Linked DNA regions of Yarrowia lipolytica. The protein of the gene in region 2 purifies or fractionates together with the protein of the main gene of each other region. This does not show direct contact. Links are inferred from orthologs where the notes say so. Each region holds a gene or a part of one and is shown on either strand. Other genes may lie near its edges.

Region 1 (5,483 bases), on a different chromosome or scaffold from region 2:
CCGAAGAGGTATGGGGCTGGGGAACGTGACTGTGGTCGTGTCCATGGTCGTGGCCGTGGTCACCGTGATCGTGTTCAACGTGTTCAGAATGGCAGTCCATATGGTTCTGTTTGAAAGCTGGAGTTTAGGCTGTTTATGATATGCACTTGGTCCGCACTAACTTTGGATATTTTGGTATAAGATTCGGTATCGTTATCTGAGGTTATGAGCACCGGTGAGATGAAGGGTGTGCCTGAGGCCGATACTGCGTAGTGTAGAATGTTGGTAGTGGTAGATGCTTCATATTGGGTTGCGTTTTTTTTCCCGGATATATTTAGTGGCGATATTCTACTGCGAGGGTCTGAAACAGGCTCCATGACTAGCTCAACATTAATTGCTAGGCATCCGAAGTTCTAGACCCTTCTTGTGGGCCGTGCGCAAGAGGAGGAATTTTGAGTTATTCAACCTGGAAGAGATTACTTGATGTTTTAGGCTACTGTTTAGTTAACGACTAGGAAAAGCGTCAGTAATGCCAATCGGGAAATGAGGTCGTATAGCGATACCAGGAAGGTGGTAAGGATCTTGGTCTACGCCAGCTACCTCATTGCCTTGCTTCTGTAACACCCTCTTACTACAAGAGCAACGCTATTTCTCTGCTGGCTTAATGAGCTGTCCGTCCCAAACTCCCCCACAACGCAAACTCAAGTGTGTACGTGCATGAAATTTCACACTCATCACATTATCACACCACCATGGTCCACAAAGCCGAGTACCTGGAAGAACACGAGACCCAGATCTCCTCCATTCTGAGCGGCGGTTACGCCCACCCTCTGTCTCGACAGTGGCAGCAGAAGAACCGCCTCACCAAGGATATGTTCATCTATCCTCTTTTCGTCACTGATGATCCCGAGGAGGAGACTCCTATCAGCTCTCTTCCCGGCCAGAAGCGATGGGGCGTCAACAAGCTGGTGCCCTACGTCGACTCTCTGGTCAAGAAGGGCCTCCGATCTGTCATTCTTTTCGGTGTTCCTATGAAGGAGGGTGTTAAGGATCTTGAGGGAACTGCTGCGGATGATCCCGAGGGACCCGTTATTCAGGCCACCAAGGCTCTCAAGAAGGCCTTCCCTGACCTGTTTGTCATGTGTGACGTTTGCCTGTGCGAGTACACCTCGCACGGTCACTGCGGCGTTCTTCGAGAGGACGGAACTGTTATCCGAGACACAACTGTGCGACGTTTGGCTGCCGTGGCTGTCAATTACGCCAAGGCAGGAGCTGACTGTGTGGCACCCTCGGACATGATTGACGGTCGAATCCACGACATCAAAAAGGGCTTGCTCAAGGCCGGTCTTGCCCACAACGTCATGGTTATGAGCTACACTAAGTTCTCCGGAAACCTGTACGGACCTTTCCGAGAGGCTGCCTGCTCTGCTCCCAGCCACGGAGACCGAAAGCGATACCAGCTCCCCGCTGGCGGTCGAGGTCTCGCTCGACGAGCTCTTGCTCGAGACCTGGCCGAAGGTGCCGATGCCGTCATTGTCAAGCCTTCCACCTTTTACCTGGATATCGTGGTGGACGCTGCTGAGATCTGCAAGGACGTGCCTATTGCTACCTACCAGGTTTCCGGAGAGTACGCCATGATCCACGCAGCTGCCGAGAAGGGCGTTGTTGATCTGGAGGTGATGGCCTTCGAGGCGGCCTACGGTAACCTGCGAGCCGGAGCCAACCTCCTTATCTCTTACTTTACCCCCGACTTTCTCGAGTGGTTGGACCACCACCACTAAGGTGACACTACTAAGACGACAAGGCCCGATGACGAAGTAATGAGACCATGCCCCTAGAGTATCTAGATAATTATTGATGAAGAAACGAGAAGATATATTACAGCAGCAACGCCCTCCACTCGTGGATCCAACTACAATACAGAAAAAAGCACAAGTACAGTCCTTAATAGTGTATGAAGTATCTACAGTACCGGTACTTGTACATACTGTAGCGTCTGACATTGAAGGAGGTACTGCTGCACTCGGACAATCCCACTACGAACAACAAATCGAATAGGTAACATTCTATACATAATTTAGTCCGACTATCCTAACCATCGGACCCTACTGTCAAGATTAGTTGACACCCTCTTCCTTCCTTTCTCATGCTAGTGTACATTATAAATAACTAATCCTCGAGCTTCTTGACGTCCTTGACAATCTCGTCAAAGTTCTCCTTGTACTCGACCTTGGTGTCGGCCTTTTTACTCTTGCCTCCGCCGGGAACAATCATGACGGTGGAAGTGGGTCGCTTAGTAGCACCGGCAGCTCCGAGATCCTCCTTGGAGGGGATGAAGAGGTAAGGAACACCGTTGTCCTCACAGAGAACGGGAATGTGAGAGACGACATCCATGGGAGAAATGTCTCCAGCGATGATGACAAGACCCTTCTCGCCCTTTCGGAGAGCCTTGACAACCTCCTTGACACCTCGCTTAACGTGCTTGGCCTTGGAAGCCTTCTTCACGGTCTTGAGCACCTTCTTGTTGAGCTTCTTGGGGGCAAGAGGCTTGGCGAAGGGCAGCAGAGCCTCCATTCGAGCGTCGTAGTTGTCGACCTCGTCAATCTCAACGGTGATATCTCCCTTGTCTTTGCCCATTGTTGTAGTGTGATGTGTGAGACTGCAGGATGAAAAAAAAATTTAGCTACAGCGCTTGAAAAAACTTATTAGGGTTCAGAGGTTATGAGCATCCAGGAATACATGCACACAAGATCAGAATTAAAAAGTAAACAGATAGACAGCTTACGGACATGATTACTATTAATGATACCATTATTGGGTTATGAGCCGTTTACACACTCCTGATAAATTTTTCAGATCCCCAGCTCCTCCCAAAACAATCTACCCTAACCACGACGCCATGCATTACACAACCTTGATATATCAGTAGCACCATTCGTTGCGACAGATCAACCACCAGAGATGAAGTTCTACATCGATGATCTGCCGGTGTTGTGGCCATACCCTCGGATCTATCCCGAGCAGTATGCCTACATGTGCGACATCAAGAAAACCCTGGACGTGGGAGGCAACTGCATCTTGGAAATGCCTTCAGGAACAGGCAAGACTGTCTCCCTGTTGTCTCTGACAGTGGCGTACCAGCAACACTATCCCGAGCATCGAAAGATCATTTATTGTTCCCGAACAATGTCGGAGATCGAGAAGGCTCTGGCTGAGTTGAAGAACCTCATGAAGTTTCGAACTGAGACTCTAGGCTTTGAGGAGGACTTTAGAGGGCTGGGTCTGACCTCACGAAAGAACCTGTGTCTGAATCCCAATGTGCGATACGAAAAGAAAGGTTACATTGTCGACGAGAAGTGCCGAGCCATGACATCTGGAATTGCCAAGCAGAAGCTGGCTGCAGGAGAAGACGTTACTCTATGTGAATACCACGAGAACATGAACGACATTGAGCCTCACAACTACATTCCACCTGGTGTTTTCACCTTTGAGGACATTTTGGCGTATGGCGAGGAGCACAAGACATGTCCTTATTTTACTGTGCGTCGAATGATGGCCTTCTGCAACGTCATCATCTACTCTTATCATTATCTACTCGATCCCAAGATCGCCGACCGAGTTTCCAAGGAGCTGAGCAAAGACTGCATTGTCATTTTTGATGAGGCCCATAATATCGACAACGTCTGCATTGAGGCTCTGTCTGTCGACATTACTGAAGACTCCTTGAAACGAGCCACTCGGGGAGCAAACCATCTGGCCAAGAAGGTCAGTGAGGCCCGATCCAGCGACTCTGAGAAATTGAAAAATGAATACAACAAACTGGTGGATGGATTGCGAGATCTGGAATCCGGAGAACAAGAAGATACGTTTCTCGCTAACCCTGTGCTCCCTGAAGATCTTATTTCGGAAGCTGTGCCTGGAAACATTCGAAAGGCAGAACATTTCGTGGCCTTCTTGAAACGATTCATTGAATATCTCAAGAGTCGAATGAAGGTGCTTCATGTCATTTCCGAAACCCCTGCATCGTTCTTGAAACATCTTCGAGATTTGACATACATTGAACGAAAGCCTCTTCGATTCTGCGCTGAGCGTCTATCGTATCTGGTCAGAACCCTCGAGTTGACTCACGTCGATGATTACACTGCTCTCAAGGAGATTGCTGTGTTCGCCACCTTGGTGTCTACCTACGACACCGGCTTCCAGCTCATTCTGGAGCCCTTTGAGACCGATCAGGCCACCGTTCCTAACCCCATTTTGCATCTTACATGTTTGGACGCCTCCATTGCTATCAAGCCTGTCTTTGATCGGTTCTCAAGCATCATCATCACATCCGGTACCATCTCCCCTCTAGATATGTACCCGAAAATGTTGAACTTCGAGACTGTGGTTCAGGAGTCGTACACCATGACACTGGCACGGCGAGCCTTCTGTCCTCTCATTGTGACCAAGGGTTCAGACCAGGTAGCCATCAGTTCTCGATTCGAGATCCGAAACGATCCTTCAGTTGTCCGAAACTACGGTAACCTTCTGATTGAATTTTCTAAGATCACACCTGATGGCCTTGTCGTCTTCTTCCCTTCATATCTTTACATGGAGTCTATCATTTCCATGTGGCAGACTATGGGTATTCTGGACGAAGTGTGGAAGTACAAACTCATTCTGGTCGAGACTCCTGATGCTCAGGAAACCTCTCTTGCCTTAGAAACTTACCGAACTGCCTGCTCCAACGGTCGAGGCGCTGTCATGCTCTGTGTCGCTCGAGGAAAGGTTTCGGAAGGTATCGATTTCGACCACCAGTTTGGAAGAACTGTGCTTATGATTGGTGTTCCTTTTCAGTACACCGAGTCGCGTATCTTGAAGGCTCGTCTCGAGTTTTTGCGAGATAACTACCACATTCGAGAGAACGACTTCTTGTCTTTCGATGCCATGCGCCATGCTGCCCAGTGTCTGGGACGAGTCTTGCGAGGTAAAGATGACTACGGTGTCATGGTGTTGGCTGACAGACGTTTTGCCAAGAAGCGAAACCAGCTGCCCAAATGGATCAACCAGGCCATTTTGGATGCTGACACAAATCTGTCCACAGATATGGCTCTAGCTGCAGCCAAGAAGTTTTTGCGAACTATGGCCCAGCCTATGAACAAGGAAGACCAGGAGGGTGTTTCAGTGTGGTCATTGGAGCAGCTTCAGGAGTACCAGGGATCCAAAAAGGATGGAGGTTACCGACTTGCCCCCGAGGATGCCATGGATATCGATGAAAAGGATCTTGAAGAGGGTCTCAGAGAAGTCGAACAAGCCAAAAAAGAAATTGCTGCTCGATAACAACGGTACGTACAGATATCCGTAGCAGCATATAATATAACAAGCATTATTTAATTAAAACACAAGAGCAGTCCACAGGCACAGTCAATGCAAGGTTATACAATACAATAATAATATACATAATTTATGATCATCCTCTTACTCCTCCATTTCAACCTCTTCCGCTTCCTCACCCTCAGCCACAG
Region 2 (6,247 bases):
ATTGCCACTTCAAAGGAAAGCATTATCGTGACTATCGTGTGCGTTACAGTGCGTTGTTACTTGACTTCCCAACGTTCCCCAACTCATACACCTTCCTCACACACATCTTGACTCGTTCGCCCCATCATGGACTACCTACTTACACTACCCTCGGTGAGAGATAGGTCGACAGCCGTGTTCAACCAGGCCAAGGTCGACAAGCTCACCAACTTCACCGCGGACTTTGAAAAGCTACCTGCCGTGGCAGAGTACGTCCATAAACTCATTGAACGAGACTACCAGTCGGACGCCTCCAGAATCCCCCCTCACGGACGATGGCAACACTTTGACGTGGGTCACAAACGCCTGGAGCCCCTCATTGAGTCCTGGGAGAAAAAAGGAGTCTCCAAGGACGAGGTTGCAGCTAGACTGGTCGATCTGTTTGTGGTGTCTGTGCTTCTGGATGCCGGAGCAGGGCCCACCTGGAAGTACACAGAAGGCTCCGGAGAGCAGACAGGGCGATCCGAGGGAATCGCAATTGCCTCCCTCGACATGTTCGCCGCGGGAATCTTTGGTGATCCCGATATTGTGACGGGTCCCGGCCTAGAAAGGCTCACCCTCAGCCAGCTCAGTGATGGCTTCCAAGTAAGCAAGACGAACCCGATGGACGGCCTTGAGGGACGGTACAATCTGCTCGTCCGGCTAGGAAAGGCTCTCATCGCTTCTCCTGAGCTCTTTGGACCCTCTGCTCGCCCAGGTCATCTCATCACTTACCTCAAGAGCACAGAAGAGCCCATCGAGATAGCAACTCTCTGGGAGGCGCTGATGAAGGGCCTGGGCCCCATTTGGCCTGCGGGACGACTCAAGATAAACGGTAAGGCTCTGGGAGACGCTTGGGTATGTTCCTCTCTCCCCAACCCTTCAGGAGACGAAGCTGGATCTGTCACGCCTTTCCACAAACTCACCCAGTGGCTGACGTACTCCATTCTGGTCCCCATGAAGGAGTATGGAGGCCTCAAGTTTGTGGGAGAAGAGCAACTTACTGGTCTACCCGAGTACCGAAACGGAGGTCTTCTGGTCGATTTCGGGGTTCTGACTCTCAAGCCTGAGGCACTGAAACAATCGCTTAGTGGTGCCAATGACCTTCCCAAGTTTGAGCCCTCCTCTGACGTGATTGTCGAGTGGAGAGCTCTTACCGTTGGCTTCCTGGATGCCCTTCTTCCCATGGTCAATGCTATGCTGGAAACGCCTCTTGTGTTGCCCCAACTTTTGGAGGCTGGCACTTGGAAGGCTGGTCGTGAAATTGCCAAGGAAAAGCGATCCAACGGCGGGCCTCCTATTGAGATTCAGAGCGATGGCACTGTGTTCTAATCCTCGAGAAGTCGTATAACCCTTAGGGTCCCTACCATTTCTACTCCATCAACTTGCATCCTTCATGTAACTCACTGTTAACCGATCTATGTTATTAATATACATTATATGCACCCATACCACATGTACGCGCGTAGAAACTTGTACTATCGTGCAAGTAGCCATACTCGCATCCTCCTATGCCAGCCGATCAAGAGCAACAAAAACTCCGTCTTCCACTCGAACAGGTCTCTTGAAATCCACTTTACTATCGAACAGCTCCTTGGCTCCAGACACTCCAAGCGCAGTGTCGTGCTTGACGGCGTCCTCGACGTGATCCCACTGTCCAAACACAAACAGAGGCCGCTTGACAGTTCGGGGCAGGGCCAGAATGGGCTTGGGCTGTGTTTCCGGTGCAAGCTCGCTCTGTCGGAACTCTCCACCAGGACACCACACGGTGTAGTCGTATCCCTCGGGAGTAGAGGGCATGGTGAAGATGTGAGAGAAGTCGGTGGCCACACGAACAGAGTACCCGGTATCTTGTCCGTAAGCCTCTGTGGCTGACACAACCTTGTTCTCCTTGGTATCCACAGTCACTCTGACGCCCACAGGAACGGTCTGGCCATATTCGAGCTCGTGGGGCTCTGCAGCGCCAATGTTGATGTAAGGAGTGGCACCATCAACGGTTGGTGGCTGCAGCTCGATACCCTTGGCCTCAGCCTTCTTGACGTTTCTCTTTTGTTTGGAGATCTTGCTCTTGACGTTCTTGTTGAGGATCATTGGGATCGACATGCCCTCCTTGTATCGGGCGTCTCGCGACTCCATGAACGGTAGCAGCAGCTTGGGCAGCTTCTTGGCGTACTCAAAGTTGGTTGTAGTGGTTTCCGGGGTGAAAATGGACTTTCGCAGGTAATCGGGGGTGACGAAAAACTGCAGCAGAGAAGCCAGTGTCACAGCTCGCTCGGACAGCTCGGGCTTGTGGTCGTTAGATGCGTCAGAGTTGAAGACAATCTTGGGCTTTCCAAACGAGCTAGTCTCGGACTTTTTGGTCTTCTCCTGCTTGATGTCGGGCCGCTCTGAGGGTTCGTAGATGACAATCTCGTCCACGTTGTAGGCCACCGCAGCTCGAGCAATCTGGTAAGCAGTGTGGACAGCTTGTTGGTAAGACTTGACAACAGTCTCTGAAATGCAAGTGGAGGGCACAACGAGAGTCACAGAAAGCTGAGCCTCCTTGGGAGTCGTGGTCTGGAGCTCGCTCTCTTGGTTGGGTGTGAGGGTGGACTCAAACTCCTGCTGTTTGGCCTTCTTCTTGGCCTTGTGCTCCTCAGGAGTCTTTCTCTTGAGCTCGGTTAGTTATTGTGGGATCCAAATTGGCGCTCTTGACTCGCTCATACTCACTTCTGACATGTCTTCTTGTGGTGTGGTGTGCTTGATGAAAATTTCAAAATAATTTCGATTAGACTTCGTGATCTTTGATGCAGGTGGGAGGATGTGTATACAGTTGGGATTACTTGGTTTACCTGGGACTACTTAGACGTTTAGTTAATAACTTCGTATTCATCAAATATATCAAAATTGCTTGGTTTGCTGGTGTCGCGTCTACTTGGAAAGCTGGTCAACAACTGCGGCAAACAGCCAGGCTCCGGGATCGGGAACATCTGCGGTCTTTGAAACATAACTGGCTCGTCCATACTGAGCTTTGAGGGTCTTTGTGCTTTCTGCTCCCTCCTGAGCGGCTTTGGCTGCATGTTGAAGACTTCCAGACGAGGCGTAGACTTCACAGAAGGGAATCAGAGAGTCCATGACCGTTCGGTCACCCTTGCGAGCCTGTGTGTGTGTCTGGAGAGATTTTGAAGCCAATCCAACCGCCTTTGGAGCCTGTTCAACTCCTTCCTTTTGCAGGTTGTAGATGAGAGCACTAACAAAGATGCCCAGAATGGCTCCCAGAGAGCCACCCATGTCATCCAGGCAGGACGAGAGGAGATTAAGAGTTCCCTTTAAAGAAGACTGCTTGCGGGAATTCCACTCCTTTTGAATGTGAAGTGCCGCGTCTTTGGCTGCCATACCGCAGTCTCCATCACCCATTACAGTATCCCAGGTGGTGAGAGAAGGCTCGATTGAAATGACATGTTTGCAAATACGCGAAACAAGCTCGTCATAAGGCGACTCTTCGCAGTCCTTGGCCGCTAGCTCCTCCTGCTTGGAGAGCACCTTCTGTTTCTTGGGCTCGTTGACACCGACCCTTGGCCAAGCAGGAGCATCAGTTGGAGCATCGATGAGCTCTAGAAGCTGTTTGCTAGATAATTTTTCAACGAGAGTTGCAGAGTATGAAGGGTTGTAAAGAGTGATTGAAAAGCCTGGGCCGTCTAGCGACGTCTCAAAGGCTCCAGACAGGACTCGACAGGGAACAATGTTATAATCCTGCTCCAGAACAGACAGGGCCACTTGAGTTAGGGCTCCATTCTCGAGATTAGACAGCCCACCAAAGTTGTTGACCAGCAGAATAACCTCGTCCTTCTCCTTGAAGGACACAAAGGCTCGCTCCTTGTCGTTGGGGTCTAGCAAAAGAGTCAACATCTGTTTGATGAGATCTTCAGGCCGTTCGGGAATGTCGACCTCAACAAGTCCTCGTTCGTTGTGAATACCCATTCCAAGTACAGCCTTGTCATGAGGGATATGAAAGTCCACGTCTGTTCGACCAGGAACACTGCAGTGGTCCAGAGAACATCCCACCGTGACCAGTCCGTCGTTCACTGCCCGTCCTACATTGGAGACGTGATCAAAGGAACCTCCAGCCTCAGCACAGGCTCCCATGGACTTGAGAACAAGCAGGTTTCCCGCCAGTCCCCGTCTTCCGACCTTTGAGGACCGGGTTCGTCCGAGAGCGACATCATCAGTCACAGGGATGACTGCCACCTGCATGCCTCCAGACTCGGCCTGGAACTTCTCTTGGGCCAGTCCAAAGTGCAGCTTGTCGCCCGTGTAGTTTGTGATTGCCAGAATAACGCCACTGTCGGGTTCCGAGGCTCTGATACCGGCCATAACCTGTCTGGCCGAAGGAGATGCAAAAATGTCTCCACAGACAGCAGCATCTAGTAGTCCCGAGCCCACAAGACCGCTCCAGCTGGGCTCATGGCCCGATCCGCCGCCCGAAATAACTCGGACCTTGTCCGACTTTTTCTTCTTGTAATAAATGATTCTCTGATCTTCCACTAGACCCAGTTGCGGGTTGCTAGCCAGGAGAGATTCGAGGTAGAGATTGACGAGATTCGTTTTGGCGAAGTGTTTCATTTTGCGTGTGATGTGTGAGATGTGACGACCGTGAAGATGAAAGAAGCACTACTTGCACTCAACTCATTTGTTCTATATACATCGAGCGCTTTTACCTCAGAAGAAGCGGATGTCTCGAGAGAGCCTTGAGTTTAGCGTACATGAGATCGACTTTGTGGGGTAGTAGAGAGGTGTCATCAATGGACATTTCAGAGGAGCTTTTGCAGATTTTTTTACATATTTGTACTCCTTGGAACTTGGGGACCCTAAAGATATAATTTTCCTTCCGGTATCGGCATTTCTGTATCCCCTGATGACGAAAATCTGTATCGTATGGGGATATCGAATTTTGCGGGGTACAAGTGCAAGTACTCGGTTAAGCTCTCGGATGCCTTCTTTTGGATGTTCCGTCATACGATATCGGCGGATAAGCTCGTTTGGGAAGTGCATGCGGGGAGGTCACCTGTTGAAGAAAGAAGATGAGATAGGTGTTAAAATAGAATTCTGACAATGTCAAATTGGCTGTCTGGGTTCGACGATTTGCCAGATATATTTATTTTTGTCGCATGAGCATTTTTGAGTGTCGATGACCTGTTTGAGAGCATTGCTATGTGCGATTCTTTTAGGAAGCATACTGAGGTGCGATGTGATGAAAGAGAGGGAATACATCTGGCCTTTTTTTTCTTTCTTGACTTGATCTCCAGAGAGAGAGAGAGAGAGAGAGAGAGCAAAAAGCGGCCTTTCGTAGTCCTGGTCACGTGTATGGTTTACGAAGGGTGAGGTTCTGGTGACAGGACACACATCAGAGTGTACTGCGTACTTGTACTTGGGTATACTTGTACTTGGGCTCTACGAATATTGAAAGATATTCGGGTAGCAACGTCTGCTTCATTCGTTCTTACACGTACAGGTATCAATATTAACAACGCAAACAGTCTCCTTCATGGTACAACTTGTATCTTCTCTATGGTATATACCTCCACGATGAAACTCAATATGGTCACGTTCAGACAAGGATGGGAGAGTACTTCGCTGGATTGCTGTAAATGCACCAAACGAAACGAACCCAGATGTCCGCTGAATCACACGCAAGCTCTAGTGGCACGGCTCTACCAACCTAGCAAGCCGCTGGGAGCAAAAGCCGTGTCATAGATACGCAAAGCACAAGGCCACATACTTGTTGTAGACTAGAGACAAGGATTCAAACACAATGGGATATCGAACAGAAGGCTTGTGTACAACCCTTGATTACTACTCTATGAATGGGTCATAGATAACAAAACCTCTAGTTCGTATCAGTCTTCTGTTCAGTCCTAGTGTCAAGTCTTATCTTTGGGTCTTCAGCCACACCCGGAGAGTGTATCGCACATCCGCCGAGAAGTGCTACAGAAAAGAAAAAAGCACGGGGACTCAGAAATGTGGGGTTTAAAGTGCCAACGGTCGCAAAGAGTCTTCCAGCCTGCACCGACGACATGTGTCAGTGGTGCTTCTTCTCTGTTTATCTTGGATAGACCTCAGCAAGCCACACTTTTTGAAACTGTGGCTTGCAGCGGAAGGAAGTGAGATACAAGGTACGAGTACGAGCTAGGATCTCTTTATGCATACTATAACGATTCACTTTTGGTCCCTGAGTCTGTTGCTACAAGTG

The links.
Region 1: the proteins of YALI1_E24513g (region 2) and YALI1_F27667g purify together in Saccharomyces cerevisiae (affinity purification with mass spectrometry; 3 studies listed by BioGRID). This does not show direct contact. The link is inferred for Yarrowia lipolytica from reciprocal best matches to the Saccharomyces cerevisiae genes UPA2 and NHP2.

What each region holds. Positions count from the first base shown.
Region 1 is NC_090775.1:2,763,849-2,769,331, reverse strand, and holds YALI1_F27667g (uncharacterized protein), read right to left. Parts: upstream 2,617-5,483; coding exon 2,149-2,616; downstream 1-2,148. Other genes in the region: YALI1_F27692g (uncharacterized protein), read right to left, coding at 1-100; YALI1_F27686g (uncharacterized protein), read left to right, coding at 732-1,760; YALI1_F27663g (uncharacterized protein), read left to right, coding at 2,941-5,298; YALI1_F27574g (uncharacterized protein), read right to left, coding at 5,437-5,483. UniProt on the Saccharomyces cerevisiae protein: Non-catalytic component of the H/ACA small nucleolar ribonucleoprotein (H/ACA snoRNP), which catalyzes pseudouridylation of rRNA and is required for ribosome biogenesis.
Region 2 is NC_090774.1:2,448,612-2,454,858, forward strand, and holds YALI1_E24513g (uncharacterized protein), read right to left. Parts: upstream 2,737-6,247; coding exon 2,728-2,736; intron 2,674-2,727; coding exon 1,528-2,673; downstream 1-1,527. Other genes in the region: YALI1_E24487g (uncharacterized protein), read left to right, coding at 127-1,350; YALI1_E24532g (uncharacterized protein), read right to left, coding at 2,929-4,620.